Linked DNA regions of Lepisosteus oculatus. The protein of the gene in region 1 purifies or fractionates together with the protein of each later gene. This does not show direct contact. Links are inferred from orthologs where the notes say so. Each region holds a gene or a part of one and is shown in the gene's direction. Other genes may lie near its edges. The genes, in order: hsf1, fbxw7 and hspbp1.

Evidence for each region.
Region 2: the proteins of hsf1 (region 1) and fbxw7 purify together in Homo sapiens (affinity purification with western blotting; 4 studies listed by BioGRID, with this or other methods). This does not show direct contact. The link is inferred for Lepisosteus oculatus from reciprocal best matches to the Homo sapiens genes HSF1 and FBXW7.
Region 3: the proteins of hsf1 (region 1) and hspbp1 purify together in Homo sapiens (affinity purification with mass spectrometry; 5 studies listed by BioGRID and IntAct, counting the BioPlex papers as one, with this or other methods). This does not show direct contact. The link is inferred for Lepisosteus oculatus from reciprocal best matches to the Homo sapiens genes HSF1 and HSPBP1.

What each region holds. Positions count from the first base shown.
Region 1 is NC_090705.1:33,077,118-33,082,478, reverse strand, and holds the start of hsf1 (heat shock factor protein 1), read left to right. Parts: upstream 1-1,600; 5' UTR 1,601-1,920; coding exon 1,921-2,052; intron 2,053-5,361. Other genes in the region: ribosome biogenesis protein bop1, read right to left, coding at 1,161-1,277. UniProt on the Homo sapiens protein: Functions as a stress-inducible and DNA-binding transcription factor that plays a central role in the transcriptional activation of the heat shock response (HSR), leading to the expression of a large class of molecular chaperones, heat shock proteins (HSPs), that protect cells from cellular insult damage.
Region 2 is NC_090696.1:25,229,845-25,235,205, forward strand, and holds the start of fbxw7 (F-box/WD repeat-containing protein 7), read left to right. Parts: upstream 1-1,729; 5' UTR 1,730-1,744; coding exon 1,745-1,897; intron 1,898-5,361. UniProt on the Homo sapiens protein: Substrate recognition component of a SCF (SKP1-CUL1-F-box protein) E3 ubiquitin-protein ligase complex which mediates the ubiquitination and subsequent proteasomal degradation of target proteins.
Region 3 is NC_090702.1:1,501,110-1,506,470, forward strand, and holds the start of hspbp1 (hsp70-binding protein 1), read left to right. Parts: upstream 1-1,863; 5' UTR 1,864-2,178; intron 2,179-4,439; 5' UTR 4,440-4,444; coding exon 4,445-4,564; intron 4,565-5,361. UniProt on the Homo sapiens protein: Inhibits HSPA1A chaperone activity by changing the conformation of the ATP-binding domain of HSPA1A and interfering with ATP binding. Interferes with ubiquitination mediated by STUB1 and inhibits chaperone-assisted degradation of immature CFTR.

The sequences.
Region 1 (5,361 bases):
ATCCCAGGGCGTTCCTCGAAAAGAGTAGGGGTGTAACCCCGGCGTCCTGGCCAAAATTCCCATCGCCCTTTATCAATCATGGCCTCCTAATAATCCCCCTCTATGAATTGGCTTCATTACTCTGCTCTCCTCCCCACTGATAGCTGGTGTGTGGTGAGCATTCTGGCGCACTATGGCTGCCGTCGCATCATCCAGGTGGATGCTGCACATTGGTGGTGGTGGTGGTGGAGGGGATCCCCATTACCTGTAAAAGTGCTTTGAGTGGAGTGTCCAGAAAAAGCGCTATATAAGTGTAAGCAATTATTATTATTATTATTATTATTATTATTATTATGTCACTGGACTGTGGGAGCAAACCGGAGCACCTGTAGGACATCCATACGAACAGGGGGAGAACATACAAACCCCACACAGATCAGTACCCCCAGGAATTTACCCCAGGGCCCTAGCGCTGCATGGCAGCATTGCTAACCACTGTGCCAGCAAATCCTAATGCTTTACTGAATACATACAACATTTGTCCAGCACATGTACATTGAGAGGCAACTACAACATTTGTCACTTAACTAAGGCTTTGAACCTATGAATTATACAACCCTATTAAGGTCCTTATGATGCCGAAATCACAAGTAAATTAAAAAAAAACACCTGGATATGAAACCAGAAATGATTATATTATTTTCTTCATAAATCTTTCGTTTACAGACGAAAGTGGCCACTGTTTCTGTCAGATAAACAAGTGGTTACGAACCTTACACTAACATATTAAGAGAACATAAGGCAGTCAGTAAACATTTAGTCAAAATATGTACTTTTTGTTATTCCCTTTAATAATCAATGTATGAGACTATCTAAGGTAGTGAAAAAACCATCTCTTAAAATGATACTCCAACGTTTTAAGACTCATTCCTTAAGGCAAATTGTAGGAATTAACTATGCGTTCCGTTTATAAATGAATACCTCAAATTAGAAATATACATTGTAATAAAATATTTTCAGAAAAGACACGCAGAAGTAAACACTGTTTTTCGAAGTTTAAATATTTGTTTATAGTGCTCTATAAACTGAGAAACATCTTGGCATTAAACGGTCCTGAAACTAGTTCATACTACTAGAAAGTATTTTGAACAAATAAAAAAAAATAATGTTTATTATTTTACCTGTTCCTCATCTTCTTCCGCTGTTCTTTTGAAACTTTTTTCTTTAGCTTTTCTACTCATGCTGCCGTTTTGCACAATTTCACTGAAGGCTGCAGACATGCTGTGGAGACTGACCATGTGGGACGCAGGGGTCAAGGTTTATAGTTCAGAGTTGAAATAAAAAAATCGTCGTTTATTACTACTTGAAATGAAAAAAATATTAACCAAAAAAATATAAATAATCTGCCCTGCTTTAAAGATATCTACGTAACATAAACAATTTTTCTGCAAATTGGGGTTAAAAGTCAAAGGCTCACGATATTTAATTTTTTAATCAACTCAAATTATGTTTTTCTAAAAACTATGTTTTTTCAATAGTGAATACTTCTACGAAATTCAATATACAATATATTTAATTTTATTGCTGCCGAAACCAAATGTGTATTTTGGGGTTTTTGGTGATGTCACAAAATGGCGACTACCATGCTAGTGTGGAATGTTTCGTTTCTACGCAGTTCGTAAAAATCCCTTTTTGGTGAAAAAATCAATGTCTTGATTTTCGATCGGCTAAAGGCAGGCCAGTGATAAGTGTCATTTAATTTACTGAAGGTCGAGAAGAGGAATAATACAACGTGGGATTAACGTTGCGACCCTTCAAGGCTGCTGTCTAGTTTTGAACTTCTGTGGTCTGCATATCGGATCTGTTTGTTGTTTTGTTTAGATTCTGCTTTACTTTGTGTTGCTTTCCTCCCTTCTTCTTTATTGTTGTTTTTCTGCTTTTATGGATATGGAATTTCATGGGGGTGGCTCTGGTGGAAGTTTGGTCAGTGGAAGTAATGTCCCTGCTTTCCTCACGAAACTTTGGACTTTGGTGGAAGACCCCGATACCGATTCGCTCATCTGCTGGAGTCCGGTAAGTGGGAGCACTGAAGGCGGATCTGGGCGACGAGAGACCAGATTCAGTTGTGTGAACATGGTTCAGTGACAGTAAACAAGCTGGGATGTTGCTTACTTTTATTTGTTTTGCGATCCTTCAGTGCATTTTATTTTCAGTTTGTGTTTCGGTTTGACCCCCACCTACACACGTTCGTCTTATTTTTAGCAGGTTGTTATAAAAAGTGTGTCTCTTTTCATTATAAATGTCATTTTGCCAGTCAGAGGCGAAGGCTGCTGATCATTCACCACAGGGTGATCATTTACTTGAATAAGCTTATATCTGTTGCAGTTTAATGGCAGCTGCCGGAATGGTTTGTGTTATCCTAAGAGATCTGTGAAAATCACTCTTATCTCGCCTTTTCGGATTTGTTTTCTTGAGTTTCGTGGAAGCGGGTGCGAGTTTAACCCCCCCCCCTTGTAGTTGTGAAAAGCAGGCAGACGACACTTGTTGCCAGTTGAGGGAGAGGCCATTTCATTGGGAAAAGGGGGTGTGGCCGCTATCTCTAACCTGAAATCGAAGTACTGGTGACCGACTCCGCGAATCCGAAAGGACAATCGATTAGTGGGAATCGAAACGAAATGATTGGTTTTGGTCTGCGGGAAATTGGGATTGGGATTGGTTTAAGTAGACAAACGCAACGTTAATGCTATTTTTGTGGGGCCTAATGGAGGCCTGGCCCGTAGTCTAAACCCCCCCAGATGAGCTGCTTGCGCTCATTGGGAAGAGCCCCTGCAAATTTCGGTTCCGCACGACCTTTTGAATTAAAACGCGACCGATTCCTTACGGTTTACTCGCACCGTGAACCAGACCGTTTAACATCTTTGGAGCTCGGAAACTTTATCGGCAGTAAATACTGAGGAGGGGAGGAGGGGGTCTGTCCAAGTGCGTTTCGGTTGGTTTGAAGTATGAGTGCGAACTCATTGCTGTTCAGAGTTCGTGCAGGATGGAGGCCGTGCGGGTGAAACCGCCGCACGGCTAAAAGTTCCCATATGCACATAAAGGATTATTTTCGGTGACTTTAATTGGGCCCCCTTGCTCTTTAACACAGGTCAAGAAAAATGTCATCACTCATTTTTACTGCTTTGCGTCACAACCTATTATGGACTACTTTTGGGAGAGCATGCAAATTTAAAAGTAGTTTAAAAGTCCCCTGGTGTCAATTAACCATTTGGGCAGAGCGAGTGAATTTAAGATGGCGTTGTATTCCTCACGTATCGCTTTAAAGGAGTGCACGTTTGGACAATAAGTCCTTGGAAATGTTGGTGTTTAAAGTCTGCCTTCTGTGACTCTACAATTGAAAGAAAGGTGTGTTAACTCTATTTTGAGTTTTGAACGTGCTTGCGAATTTGTCCAGGAAGTACATATCATAATAGGCTTCACCTCAAATGAAAGATGATATTATTGTCTTGCTTAGGTTAAACATTTTGCATAAAGCATTTATGTGAAGTCCTAAGCATAGATTTGATAAATGAAGAGAAATAAGATCCGGGAAGTTGTAGCTCGTAATCGTCTCTACCTCTTCCTTCACTATGCTTTGTGGTCTTCTCCCCTCTACTCTGGCCATTATTGTCTTGCTTTGTTTCGACTACTCCCCCTACCAAAACCCGCCGGTACTGCAGCGCGTATGTTGTCATGGCCTTAGTTTTGACCAACTTTTCCCCTCGCAAGATGGCTACCATATATGAAAATGTAAAAGAAAACACTTGAAGAGTTCAAAATTAAATTAGTCATCCATTCATTTTTTTCTGCTTAAAGCATCACAGCAAATATTTGACAGTCCTGTGTGTTTTATATATCATAAATATTTAAAATAACCTGTTTTTTTTAACATGGTGTGCCACAAAGACATATTCATGCCACGCAGACTGCATGAATTACCAGGTCCTACATCAAGATGTAGGACAGAAAGACAACAATCAATAATTCAATTTAAGTTATATAATTATGTGATTATGCATAATGTATTGATTTATATAATTCATTAAATTTCATTCAATATTTACTTTTTTCATTAGCTGTTTCCCCTAATTCCTCTTTTGTTTTGTTCAGTTACTGGTGAACTCCAAGCATTTGTTAAGGCAAATAGATATAATGTGTGAGGCCAAAATTAGGTAGGAGATGTATGGAGTTAACATGGACCTAAATGTGAAAGAAGCTTAAAATGGAAGTGATAAAATGGTGTCTAGCACCCAGTGCTCAGAGCAGATTAGGCAACTACAAAAAAGTCCGAAATATCTAAAGTTTTCTTATCATCTGAGAAGTGGAAGGAAATCAGCTCAGGTTGTGTAGGCTTACAGTTGAAGAACAGGACTATTCAGTCCTAACATGTAGAGCTTATTGTGGCAATCTGGTACAGAGAATATCCCTTGATCTGTTTAAGAGAAGCAAGGTTTTACAGTTTCAAATAACCATCTTCCAGAGGGAAGCTCTTCACTTAACCCGTCTTTTAATTGCTAAGTCTAGCGCCCTTCACAACACTTTGTCACAAAGCTCTTCACAAAGACTTCATCGTGACATAAATTGCTGAGCCACTTAACACTGAAGTGTGAATGGCAAAAACGCAGATGAAACTCTGCATGTGGGGACATCGCAAAGAAATGCGGAGGTCCTGCAATTTTTTATTTATTTCTGCTGGGTTTTGTGAAGGCAAGAAACAGCTGTGTACCCGTTTGAGTCCGTGAGGCTCACAGACAATGGTGTTCCACTGGTGTTTTTAATTTGTTCAAACTGGAGCAAAGTGACGGTAAGGTTTGTGACAGGGATCATCTTATCTCAGTGTTGAAAGACTGTAGTGTTTTTTTGGTTAATGGATATTACAGCATTTATGTTAACCGATTGACAGATACTTTTGGGATATCTGAAGAGTATGGGACTAAAGACTGCAGAAATATGTCTATGTTCTTCAAATAAAATTGTTGAGGGACATCTTTTGTGCTGACAGGCTTACAACAGGTTAAAGGTTTATTTTGTCCATAAACGCAACTGGACCAAAAGAAAGGGGGTGTCAGAGCTGCAAGAGGCTTCAGTCTGACAAATATCACAAAGTAACATGATGCCAGCACAAACAAATGAGATTGGGACCTCTGTTATTGTAGGTGGGGCTGTGTGGCATCACTCCCCTGAAAGAAAATCATTAATATTGAGACGCTCGGGGGCTTTGTCTGCCTAGTGGAGAAACAAATTCCTATCACTGGTTCCAAGCCAAGTGAGTGACCTCAATGCCAAAATGTCCAGACCCGCTGGCGAAGCAGAGCCTGACCTTATTAGCCCCTCGAACCCTTAGAG
Region 2 (5,361 bases), on another chromosome or scaffold:
TGTAAATCTCTTGGGACTTCACCAAGAACTCTGACAGATTGAAATCGGAAAAGACAGACAGACACCTCAAGTGTGGAGAGAACGTCCTCTTTGTAGGAGTCAGTAGTAACACTGCTTACCTGGTTGGAACAACTGTTCAATTCAAAGATAAAAGAAAGACCTGTGAGCTCTCCTGTCCTGTGAAAAGCTGCCCTCGTGTTTTTTAGCTTCAGCATCTAGATCTGTCCTTTTACCATGAAACTATTTTAAACAGGCTCCTTGCTGAATGAGAGTACATTGCTATTTATAGACCGCTGGCAAAGTGCCACAACTTGAACCACGATCTTATTTTTCAGCTACTGTGCCTGCTGATGCTCATTTTCTCTGTATTTCCAGTCATTATGTTCGGTGCTTTAAGTCTTTTTATCACTTTATTTGTTTTTGTGACCTTGATGTCGGTATAAATATATGGAAATGGGCATGAGATCGCAGTTTGGAAGAAATGACTTTCTCTGGAGTGTCAAGTTAGACCTCTGATAAGGTGAGCCCCGTGCCTTTCAAGGCTGCTGAGGTGAATTAGCAGGATGCGGAGCAGGAGGAGCAGCTCGGAGCACTTTAGTGGTTAAAGTAATCTGCTTCTGCTTAAGATCTGCGGGTAGCTTGGCTCTTGTTCACTCCGTTTCCTTTTTCTTTGGGTTGTGAGGTTATGCGCTTGTTATTACTGTAAGTAGCAGACATTGTTACTTTGGCTACAAATTGAGCTGCATAATCCTTTTTCTGTTAAAAGGAACATGTGATGCTATGCAGGCAGTTCGGTATTGGGGGTAGCATTTGCTGTCTTGTCACCTGCAAGCTGAGTCGCTTGGCCAGAGTGGCGGGCAATAATGACAAACCGCGGCAGAGAGGAGCCTTGATTTAACTCTTTGTTTGCTGCTTGCTTTTAGCCATCTGATGCTTGCCACTTCGAAGCCCAGGAGGGAGTCAAGTGGCTTGGTTTCCTCGCATGTCATTATGGCTGCTGGGTGATTGACGGGTCCCTGGGAGCGTTAGTGTCATGAAAAGGGCAGCAGGCTTGATTGGCGAGCCGGAGGATTTATCCGGGGCTCCTTATTGCTTTTCAGCATCAGAAGAATGTAGTAGCAGCAGACACAGCAGCAGCTAGGAAGGAGAGGAAACGGCAGCAGCATCAGTAGCTCCTCTGGCTGGGCTTAGAGGGATCTGTAGCCTGGAGGAGGAGTAGAAGGAGAAGGGGTGTGGCTGGGTGCTGGGAAAGGAAGAAGGGAAGTCGGAGTGTGTGGGGAGGGGGGGGTGTGGGGGAAGAAACAGGTTGAATGGATGGAGTACAGTAGCAGCTGAGTGAAGATTGCCAGGAGTAAGGTGAGGTGTGCTGGGCCTCACAGGGAACCCACAGAGCGGTACCTGCCTATGGGGGAAAAACAAAACCTGCCTCTCACCTTGGATCTCAGAACTTCCAAGTTTCACCCAGGGGATAATTCTGCTGCTCGGCAAGGAGAGGTTCTCACTGGGAAGCATCAGGTGTTTTGCTTGCTGTGTGGCATGCTGGCTGGGGGCCAGACGACTGTAGCAGGGGATGTGAGCCGTTCCCAGAAGTGGGGCAGCTGAGGCAGAGAAGCGAGCTTTGGAACTGGGCATCGGCAGCTTAAAGGAGAAAGAAAAGAAATTAGGAAAAGAACTAAAAATAGAAGCAGGAGCCTCGGCAGCGAGCATCCCTTTGACTATTTTCCTTGGAGCAGCACAGCCCCTGATGAGCAAGTCAATGTGCGGCTGTGGCTGCAGCATTATCTCGTCCTTGATGAAGAGGCTGGGCCGCTCCACGTGCTGCTCTGACCTGCTCTCCTGCAGCCACACCTCAGAGCACCTGCAGCGGCTGGCCACCGGATGTCCCAAACAGCCCAAGGTAAAGCCGCAGCAAGCCAGCGTCCGCCACTGTTGCTAAGGGCTCTCATCGCGCGAGTCCCGCTAAAAAAAACAACAACTTTGGGGTTGTGCTGTTTTCGGACACGAGTTTGTTCATTTCGCCATTGTGCTGCGAATATTAAAATAAGGTCGCAATCGGGGAGGACGTATACATGATCGGTTAATGCCTGACCTTGCAGTAACTATCCAATATCATTTTGCCATCATCAGGCAGCGTAGCAATGGAAATGCACTGCAGTAATTGATTTTGTAATGGGATCAGGTGATTTACTGGCTGTCCTGGCAACTGTAGGTTTGCTTTGAACCGGTGAGCGCTCTTAATGGATGCTTTGAGATTTCTAGTGGTCTGCCGCCTCTCTGCTGCTACTCATTGAGAGAAAGGAGTGAGTCTTTTGTCAGAGGGAGAGACGAAATGAAACAAGCTGTCCATTTGTAGCGGGGTTGTTTGATAATTGTCTGCTGCTTTTTGGGTCACCAGCCTGAAAAGGGGCAATTATCAACCAGCCATGATGTCTAGGAAACTGCTCTTCTTGTTAGTGTTGGGGTTTGCATACTCAGCTCCTTGTGCTTCATGAATGATACATTTATGTCTGTGTGCATATGTATGTTGATCTTTCTGAATTGTTATTGTAAATATTCAGAGATTTGACTTTGCCATTCATGATTCAGTGAAAGCTCCAAACAGACTTACCAGAGCAATATGGGAGTGAACATGAAACATATAAGCTAATTAGTATTTAGAGCTGTTAAACGTCTTTCTGTTTACTTTAAAAATAGATTTTCAGGTTTTATAGTCTCTGTTTAGGGCTTCTAAATGTTTTATCATATGGAATATTGACTTTTTGCCCCCTTCCTGGGTGTGGCCAGGATTTGTGTTCTAGAATGAGTGCAAAATTGAATTTCTGAATTTCTTAGTTCATAAGAACTGTGTTTTAACTTGTACGTTTTCCTTTAGCTGTCTGAATTCAGAAGAGATGAATTCATTTTTTTTTTTCAAGCTTAAAAATGTGAATTGTGTTAATCTTGAAAATTTGGCACATGGGTCTTTGGCAGTGAATCAATCCTCTCACCCTACCATCTGAAAAATCGCACCAAAAGAAATCAACTTATGTTTTTTTTAGAAACATAAAGCATATGGGTGTTTGATATTTCCGAAATGTTTTGGTGTTACTTTGATTGTTCACAATTGACTGTGACATAGTTTTTGCTTATTCCTTAGCGTCTGAGGTGTTTGCTATCGGGCATTTATAACCTGGCAAAACACCACAGAGAAGCACAGTCTGTCAACAGTAAGCCGTGATCTTCGAGGCCACTAAACACAATCTGGATCAGGGGGTCCAGCTGTCATGGTCTGAGGAGGACTGTTCACTACAGAGCTCCACTTGTAGTGATTGTTGGCAGTGTGTATGCACGGTGCTGTGGTGATCAAGTTCCTTACTTGCTGCCCTGCTTGTGGGCTCACCCTGACATGACAAGATTGTAACCAGGTGAAGCACCTTCTCATGCTACTAGTGTGCAAATAAGAACGAGACAGTGATGGCATGGATGCCCTACCTGATAGACTTGAGTCCCATTGAATGTTTGTTCAGATGAATTGGGATAGTGAGTGGTAACTAGGGCTCAGAAACAAGAGAAGGGACACGTGCTTGTCCAGGTGGTATAAGAGAAATGGGACACAATCACAGAAGACAGCATCTGCAACCTGCTGCATCATGGATACCCTACTCACCATACAGTAGCCCCACTGAACGTTTGTGGGGTGACCTGGCATCTAGGGTTCAGAGAACAGTGAACAAGCGATCAGTGAACTTGTCGAATCTCAACACAATTCCACAAAACAGCATCTGCAACCTGGCTCTAAAAATGTTGCAGTTTTGTACTGCTTCGTGTGGTGTCCACACGCTATTTGCATGTGACTGTAACTCCTCTGTTGATCAAGCCTGTTGAGGACAAACGTAAACTGAATTTCCAGTACTCATGTCATGTCTGTTCAGTCATGTATCATTGCCTCAAGTCATTCTCCTGATGATGTTCTAGCTCAGCATACATTATTTCACAAAGGTAAAGACTATACATCCAATGGGCAATGTAAACTACACTCTTTTTTATTCTTTATCATCCTTATTCTTAAACATGAAGCCAAAAGAGCTCAAATAAAAAGTGGATTTTGTCTGATTTTTATTAATTTTGATGTCATAAAATCTCCTAAAGATGAATGACCAATGTTTGAAAATGATTGATACCCAATGATTCAAAGACGCAAACTCTAATTAGAAAGTGTAGACTAAATTGTTTTTGCCCCTTTAGAAAATCAGGTTTAGTGTTAACTTACATTTTATGGGACAAAAGCTCTTCATCCAGAGGGAATGAAGAAAAAAAAAGTTAAATAATGAAAGGCTTTTTCACAGAACCCGTCATGTTTACTCATCTAAGTATTAAAACTCTGCATCAGATTGCATCACTTTGTGATACATATTAAATATATTATTTGAAAGTTAGTCTGTCCATTCTCATTGGCATTGTGGTGTCACTCCAGCCAATCAACTCCGCGTCTGTCAGTGCACTTAGGGAGGAATCTCACCTGACTGCTGGAATAAGCAAAGAAAGCAGAAGGGAGATTACACAGCGGATTTGTGAAAGAAACTGAAGGTATTAACAAATTACATTTTAAACTGCTAACTTGTTTCTCTGATTCTGTAGTCTTGGATGTTAGTTTTGTTTTTGTTGATGAAAAATATTTGACATCACCTCTCCACAGTGCATACTGTACTGTACAAATGTATCCCATTTGAACCCGAAGCCCTCTACTTCCCCAGGCTGGACAGTTGGTCCGATTCACCACCGCCGTTGGTGAACACAGCTCAGTGCTACCAATGGTAGTGGAATAAGTGTAAGGATGTTATCATTTAATTAAAAATGTTACTGTTAGCAGCTCTTGCATTGGTTCCAATGCTCGTTGGTTGTGTTATTAATGCTTTTCTTTGTATTTAGTTTCATACGGTATGATAGTGCTGTGCACAATGCACAAATCATATTGTATTGGAGAAATTACTTTTGCGTCACTATTGCAAGTGAGATTGCGCATTTAGAATAGTGATTACAGTGTGCTGGTGTGACGGGTGTAGCTGTGCCCCTGCGCTCTGCATCACCAGAACACTGCGTCTTGTTTTCTGTTGGCGGCGTCATATTCTGTGACAGGTTCGTAGTCGCCAAACCCTGCTATGTGAGGGGGAAAAAAAAACAAGAATAAGTTTTAAACATATTACAGTACTTTGTCAAAGTAGACAAAATAAGTAGGAAATCAAATTCCACTCTAGAAATTATTTTTAAAAAGTTAAAAACTACTAACCCACATTTTTGCTAATTTATCTAGACCCTTCTAAAAATATATTTTCTTCATTAAAATGATCACTCTGTAAGAGAACTAAAAACGGATACATATCT
Region 3 (5,361 bases), on another chromosome or scaffold:
TACAGACTCTTACTGGAGACACTGTATAGACACACACCTGTACAGACTCTTACTGGAGACACTGTAGAGACACACACCTGTACAGACTCTTACTGGAGACACTGTATAGACACACACCTGTACAGACTCTTACTGGAGACACTGTATAGACACACACACCTGTACAGACTCTTACTGGAGACACTGTACAGACACACACCTGTACAGACTCTTACTGGAGACACTGTACAGACACACACCTGTACAGACTCTTACTGGAGACACTGTATAGACACACACCTGTACAGACTCTTACTGGAGACACTGTATAGACACACACACCTGTACAGACTCTTACTGGAGACACTGTATAGACACACACACCTGTACAGACTCTTACTGGAGACACTGTATAGACACACACCTGTACAGACTCTTACTGGAGACACTGTATAGACACACACACCTGTACAGACTCTTACTGGAGACACTGTATAGACACACACACCTGTACAGACTCTTACTGGAGACACTGTATAGACACACACCTGTACAGACTCTTACTGGAGACACTGTACAGACACACAGCTGTACAGACTCTTACTGGAGACACAGTACAGACACACAGCTGTACAGACTCTTACTGGAGACACTGTATAGACACACACACACCTGTACAGACTCTTACTGGAGACACTGTATAGACACACACCTGTACAGACTCTTACTGGAGACACTGTATAGACACACACACCTGTACAGACTCGACATTGTATAGACACACTTTAGCCAGTGTTTATCAATCCTGAGTCTGGGCCCTTAATCACTGTTGCTAATTAGTTTCTATAACCAATTTCATTGTTTTGACTTTTTTCTGCACCCAGACTTTGGTTTCAAATGTACCCAGCTTAAGGGACTGTGTATCATTTACATTTATTACAGACTGGACAGCCCAGAGCTCAGGTCTCAGAGCTGTATCTTACACTCAAACACGGAGTTTCTCCTCAAGTGCAACTGGTCAGATTTCAGCACAGATGCAGCACGTAAACACACACAGATATACCAACTCTGATCTCATAGACCTTCACACACAAAATTACACAGACACAGCATGATCACGCACATACAGACACACTCGGACCTCTCAGACCCTCAGACACAAAATTACACACACAGACACACTCTGAACTCTCTGACCCACACACACAAAATTACACACACAGACACACTCTGAACTCTCTGACCCACACACACAAAATTACACACACAGACACACTCTGAACTCTCAGACCCTCAGACACAAAATTACACACACACACTCTGAACTCTCAGACCCTCAGACACAAAATTACACACACACACTCTGAACTCTCTGACCCACACACACAAAATTTCACACACAGACACACTCTGAACTCTCTGACCCACACACACAAAATTTCACACACAGACACACTCTGAACTCTCTGACCCACACACACAAAATTACACACACAGACACACTCTGAACTCTCTGACCCACACACACAGCATAATCACACACATGCACAAACTCACATGCACACACGTACAGACACGCTCTGAACTCTCAGACCCTCACACACAAAATTACACACACAGACACATGCACATACTCACACATACAGACGCACTCTGATCTCATAGACGCTCACACACACACACTTACACACAGCTCCAAACCCCAGGATATATTAAGATGTTGCACAAACCACGGTGATCTATTTAAGAGCTGTAAAAAAAAATCACGAATCGGCTCCAATCGGACACTTAAAAGTCGGGTTTTCTGCAGCTCCTACCGCGGCCCTTCTAATCGGAGGAAGCGGTATTTGCCGGGGAGGGGATAAATGCGCGGTCGCCTCTATTCGTGCCTTTACGGTAGCGGCGCTTTCCAATATGGCCGCGCCCGTGGAGTCCCCACGCCATGTCGGCGGGCCCGTCCCCTCCAGAAGCTTCTACCGCTCTCCGCCCGTATAAACACGCCGCGAGAGGGGAGGCCTGTGCTGGAAACCCCGTCGTGCCCTGATCTCGGGAATATCCGCCCCCACGGCGTCGGGCCTCGCTGTTGGTAGTGGTGTCGCCAGAGGGGGGTCGTCCGGACGCGAAAACAGCCGGGCGTCGGCTGCACCGAGGAGGGACCTCGTGACGGGACCGGCCTGGACTGCGGTGCCGAGGGTCCAGGTGAGCGAGCATCTTGTGTTTGTTTTTTAAAATATATAGTGAGAGTCACTAAATCTCTCAGTAACACACACAGCAGGACAGGAGACACAGTGAGAGAGAGGAGATCACGGAGAGTCCCTCAGTGATAAACACACACAACAGGACAGGAGACACAGTGAGAGAGAGGAGATCACGGAGAGTCCCTCAGTGATAAACACACACAACAGGACAGGAGACACAGTGAGAGAGAGGAGATCACAGGGAGCCCCTCAGTCATAAACACACACAGCAGGACAGGAGACACAGTGAGAGAGAGGAGATCACAGAGAATCCCTCAGTAATAAACACACACAACAGGACAGGAGACACAGTGAGAGAGAGGAGATCACAGAGAGTCCCTCAGTGATAAACACACACAGCAGGACAGGAGACACAGTGAGAGAGAGGAGATAATAGTGGGAAAGGCACAGCCATGACTCCCCCCGGGGCTGTGCCGCGGTGGGGCAGATCGTCTCCGGTCCCGGTCCCGGACGGTGTGTGTTTTCTGTGGCTGTGGGAACTCTGGAGGGAGGGGAGGGGAGGGGGTGGGAGCGGGTTCAAGTCTCGGCCGGGGTGAAGCCCGGTCCAGCGGGGCCTCTGACCCACGATCACGCCGCCGGCCCGGCCCAGCGGGGCCTCTGACCCACGATCGCGCCGCCCGGCCCGATCCAGCGGGGCCTCTGACCCACGATCGCGCCACCCGGTCGAGAGCGGAGCCGCATTTCGAGCAGAACGCGGGGGCTGAGATCGGGGGACCCTCGGCTCAGGGAAGACCTCCCCTCCTCTTCGTTCGGTTCTGCGCCCCTGCTAGCGTGCCGGGGTACCCCGATACCACTGCCTCTTCTGCAGCTTGATGCAGTGTCGGGACGGGGGGAGGAGTCTCAGTACCGACCGAATGAAATCGGCCGAACCGATCTTAATATCACCCTGCAGCTCCCAGCTGACACAGCCCACTGGAGCCCAGCAGGGGGGAGCCTGGCCAGTACCTGGAGGGGAGACTCCTGGGAAAGCTGAGGCTGCTGCTGGGAGAGGTGTGAGTGGGGCCAGCAGGGGGCGCTCACCCTGCGGTCTGTGTGGGTCCTCATGCCCCAGTATAGTGACGGGGACACTAGACTGTAAACAGGCGCCGTCCTTCAGATGAGACGTCAAACCGAGGTCCTGACTCTCTGTGGTCATTAACAATCCCGGGGTGTCTCTCGACAAGAGTAGGGGTGTTACCCCAGTGTCCTGGCCAAATTCCCCCCCCTGGCCTTTACCCCTCATGGCCTCCTAATAACCCCCCTCTCTGAACTGGCTCCATCCCTCTGCTCTCCTCCCCACTGAGAGCTGGTGTGTGTGAGAGGACTGGAGCATCATCCAGGTGGGGCTGCACACTGGTGGGGGTAGTGGGATTCCCCCTGACCTGGGAAGAGCTCTGGGTGGAGGGTCCAGACAGGGGCTGTACAAGTGTGAGGGATTATTATTATTAATGACTCTTTCTGCCTCTAAAAAAATCTCAAACTTCTGATGCCTCAGAGGTGATGTGCGTCTCTGTGCCTTGTGGCTCCCTGTTCTTCATGTTTCATAAGTTGGTCTTATCGCGTTTCATGATCTCTCCAATTCAAATCGACATTCAAATCACCTGGGAATGACTGTCGTTCTACTGCCAAAACAAATACCAGCACGCTCTCTCAGTGCAGTGTTAATGTACTGGAGTGTCCAGTCAGTGTGTCTGTATTAACCCCTCTCTCTCTCAGTGCAGTGTTAATGTACTGGAGTGTCCAGTCAGTGTGTCTGTATGAACCCCTCTCTCTCTCAGTGCAGCGTTAATGTACTGGAGTGTCCAGTCAGTGTGTGTGTATGAACCCCTCTCTCTCTCAGTGCAGTGTTAATGTACTGGAGTGTCCAGTCAGTGTGTCTGTATGAACCCCTCTCTCTCTCAGTGCAGTGTTAATGTACTGGAGTGTCCAGTCAGTGTGTCTGTATGAACCCCTCTCTCTCTCAGTGCAGTGTTAATGTACTGGAGTGTCCAGTCAGTGTGTCTGTATTAACCCCTCTCTCTCTCAGTGCAGTGTTAATGTACTGGAGTGTCCAGTCAGTGTGTCTGTATTAACCCCTCTCTCTCTCAGTGCAGTGTTAATGTACTGGAGTGTCCAGTCAGTGTGTCTGTATGAACCCCTCTCTCTCTCAGTGCAGTGTTAATGTACTGGAGTGTCCAGTCTGTGTGTCTGTATTAACCCCTCTCTCTCTCTCTCTCTCATTAGGCAGTATGGCCGAGGGCAGAGGCAACAGGCCCAACCCACAGAACCTTCAAGGCCTCCTGCGGTTGGCTGTGGAGGCTGGCTCCGCCTCCGATGAGCCCGCCCCCACGGAGCCCATGTCCGAGGAGGTAACTGCCCAAGGGGCGCCGAGCTCGAGTCCGCCCGCCCGCCCGCGCCGGTCAGTCTGTGACCGCGGCGCCCTCGAGGCCGGAGCTGCGGACAAGCGTCGGAGTTTTCCTCTGCAGTGTGTCTGCGTGACTCTTCCCCGTGGGCATGGAGACAGACAGGCCTGATTATGTCCATGTAATAAATATAATAGGGATATATAATAAGAAATACATAGATATTATATATATGTATGATAATAAATTACATAGGAATAAGTATATATATTAACAGGCTCGATTATATTGATCCCTCATGTAATATATATAATAGGAATATATCATTGTTATATAATAAATGCAGAAATATATCAGACCATATTATATATAACCGTATTCAAGAAAGTATAATATGGGTATATAATAATTATTTACTAATAAGTATATGCTTTATATATAGTAGGCCCTATTATATTTAAATCCAAAGTATATTTACATCTAGAACATGTATTATATATTAGTTATGTCGTATTTTATGTATGTTATTTCTTCTATATATCCCTATAATGTTTCTCTCTAGTATATGATTATTATTCCTGTTGTTATTATTTATATCCTCCAAAATGCAGAAGTGTCTGGGGTGTGTTACTGTGATGAGTCTGTATCTGGGCGTCTCGGTTTGTGCCAGTCCAGCCCCTGCAGCTCCCAGCTCACACACCCCACTGGAGCCCAGCAGGCGGGACCCTGGCCAGTACCTGGAGGGGAGACTCCTGGGAAAGCTGAGGCTGCTGCTGGGAGAGGTGTGAGTGGGGCCAGGAGGG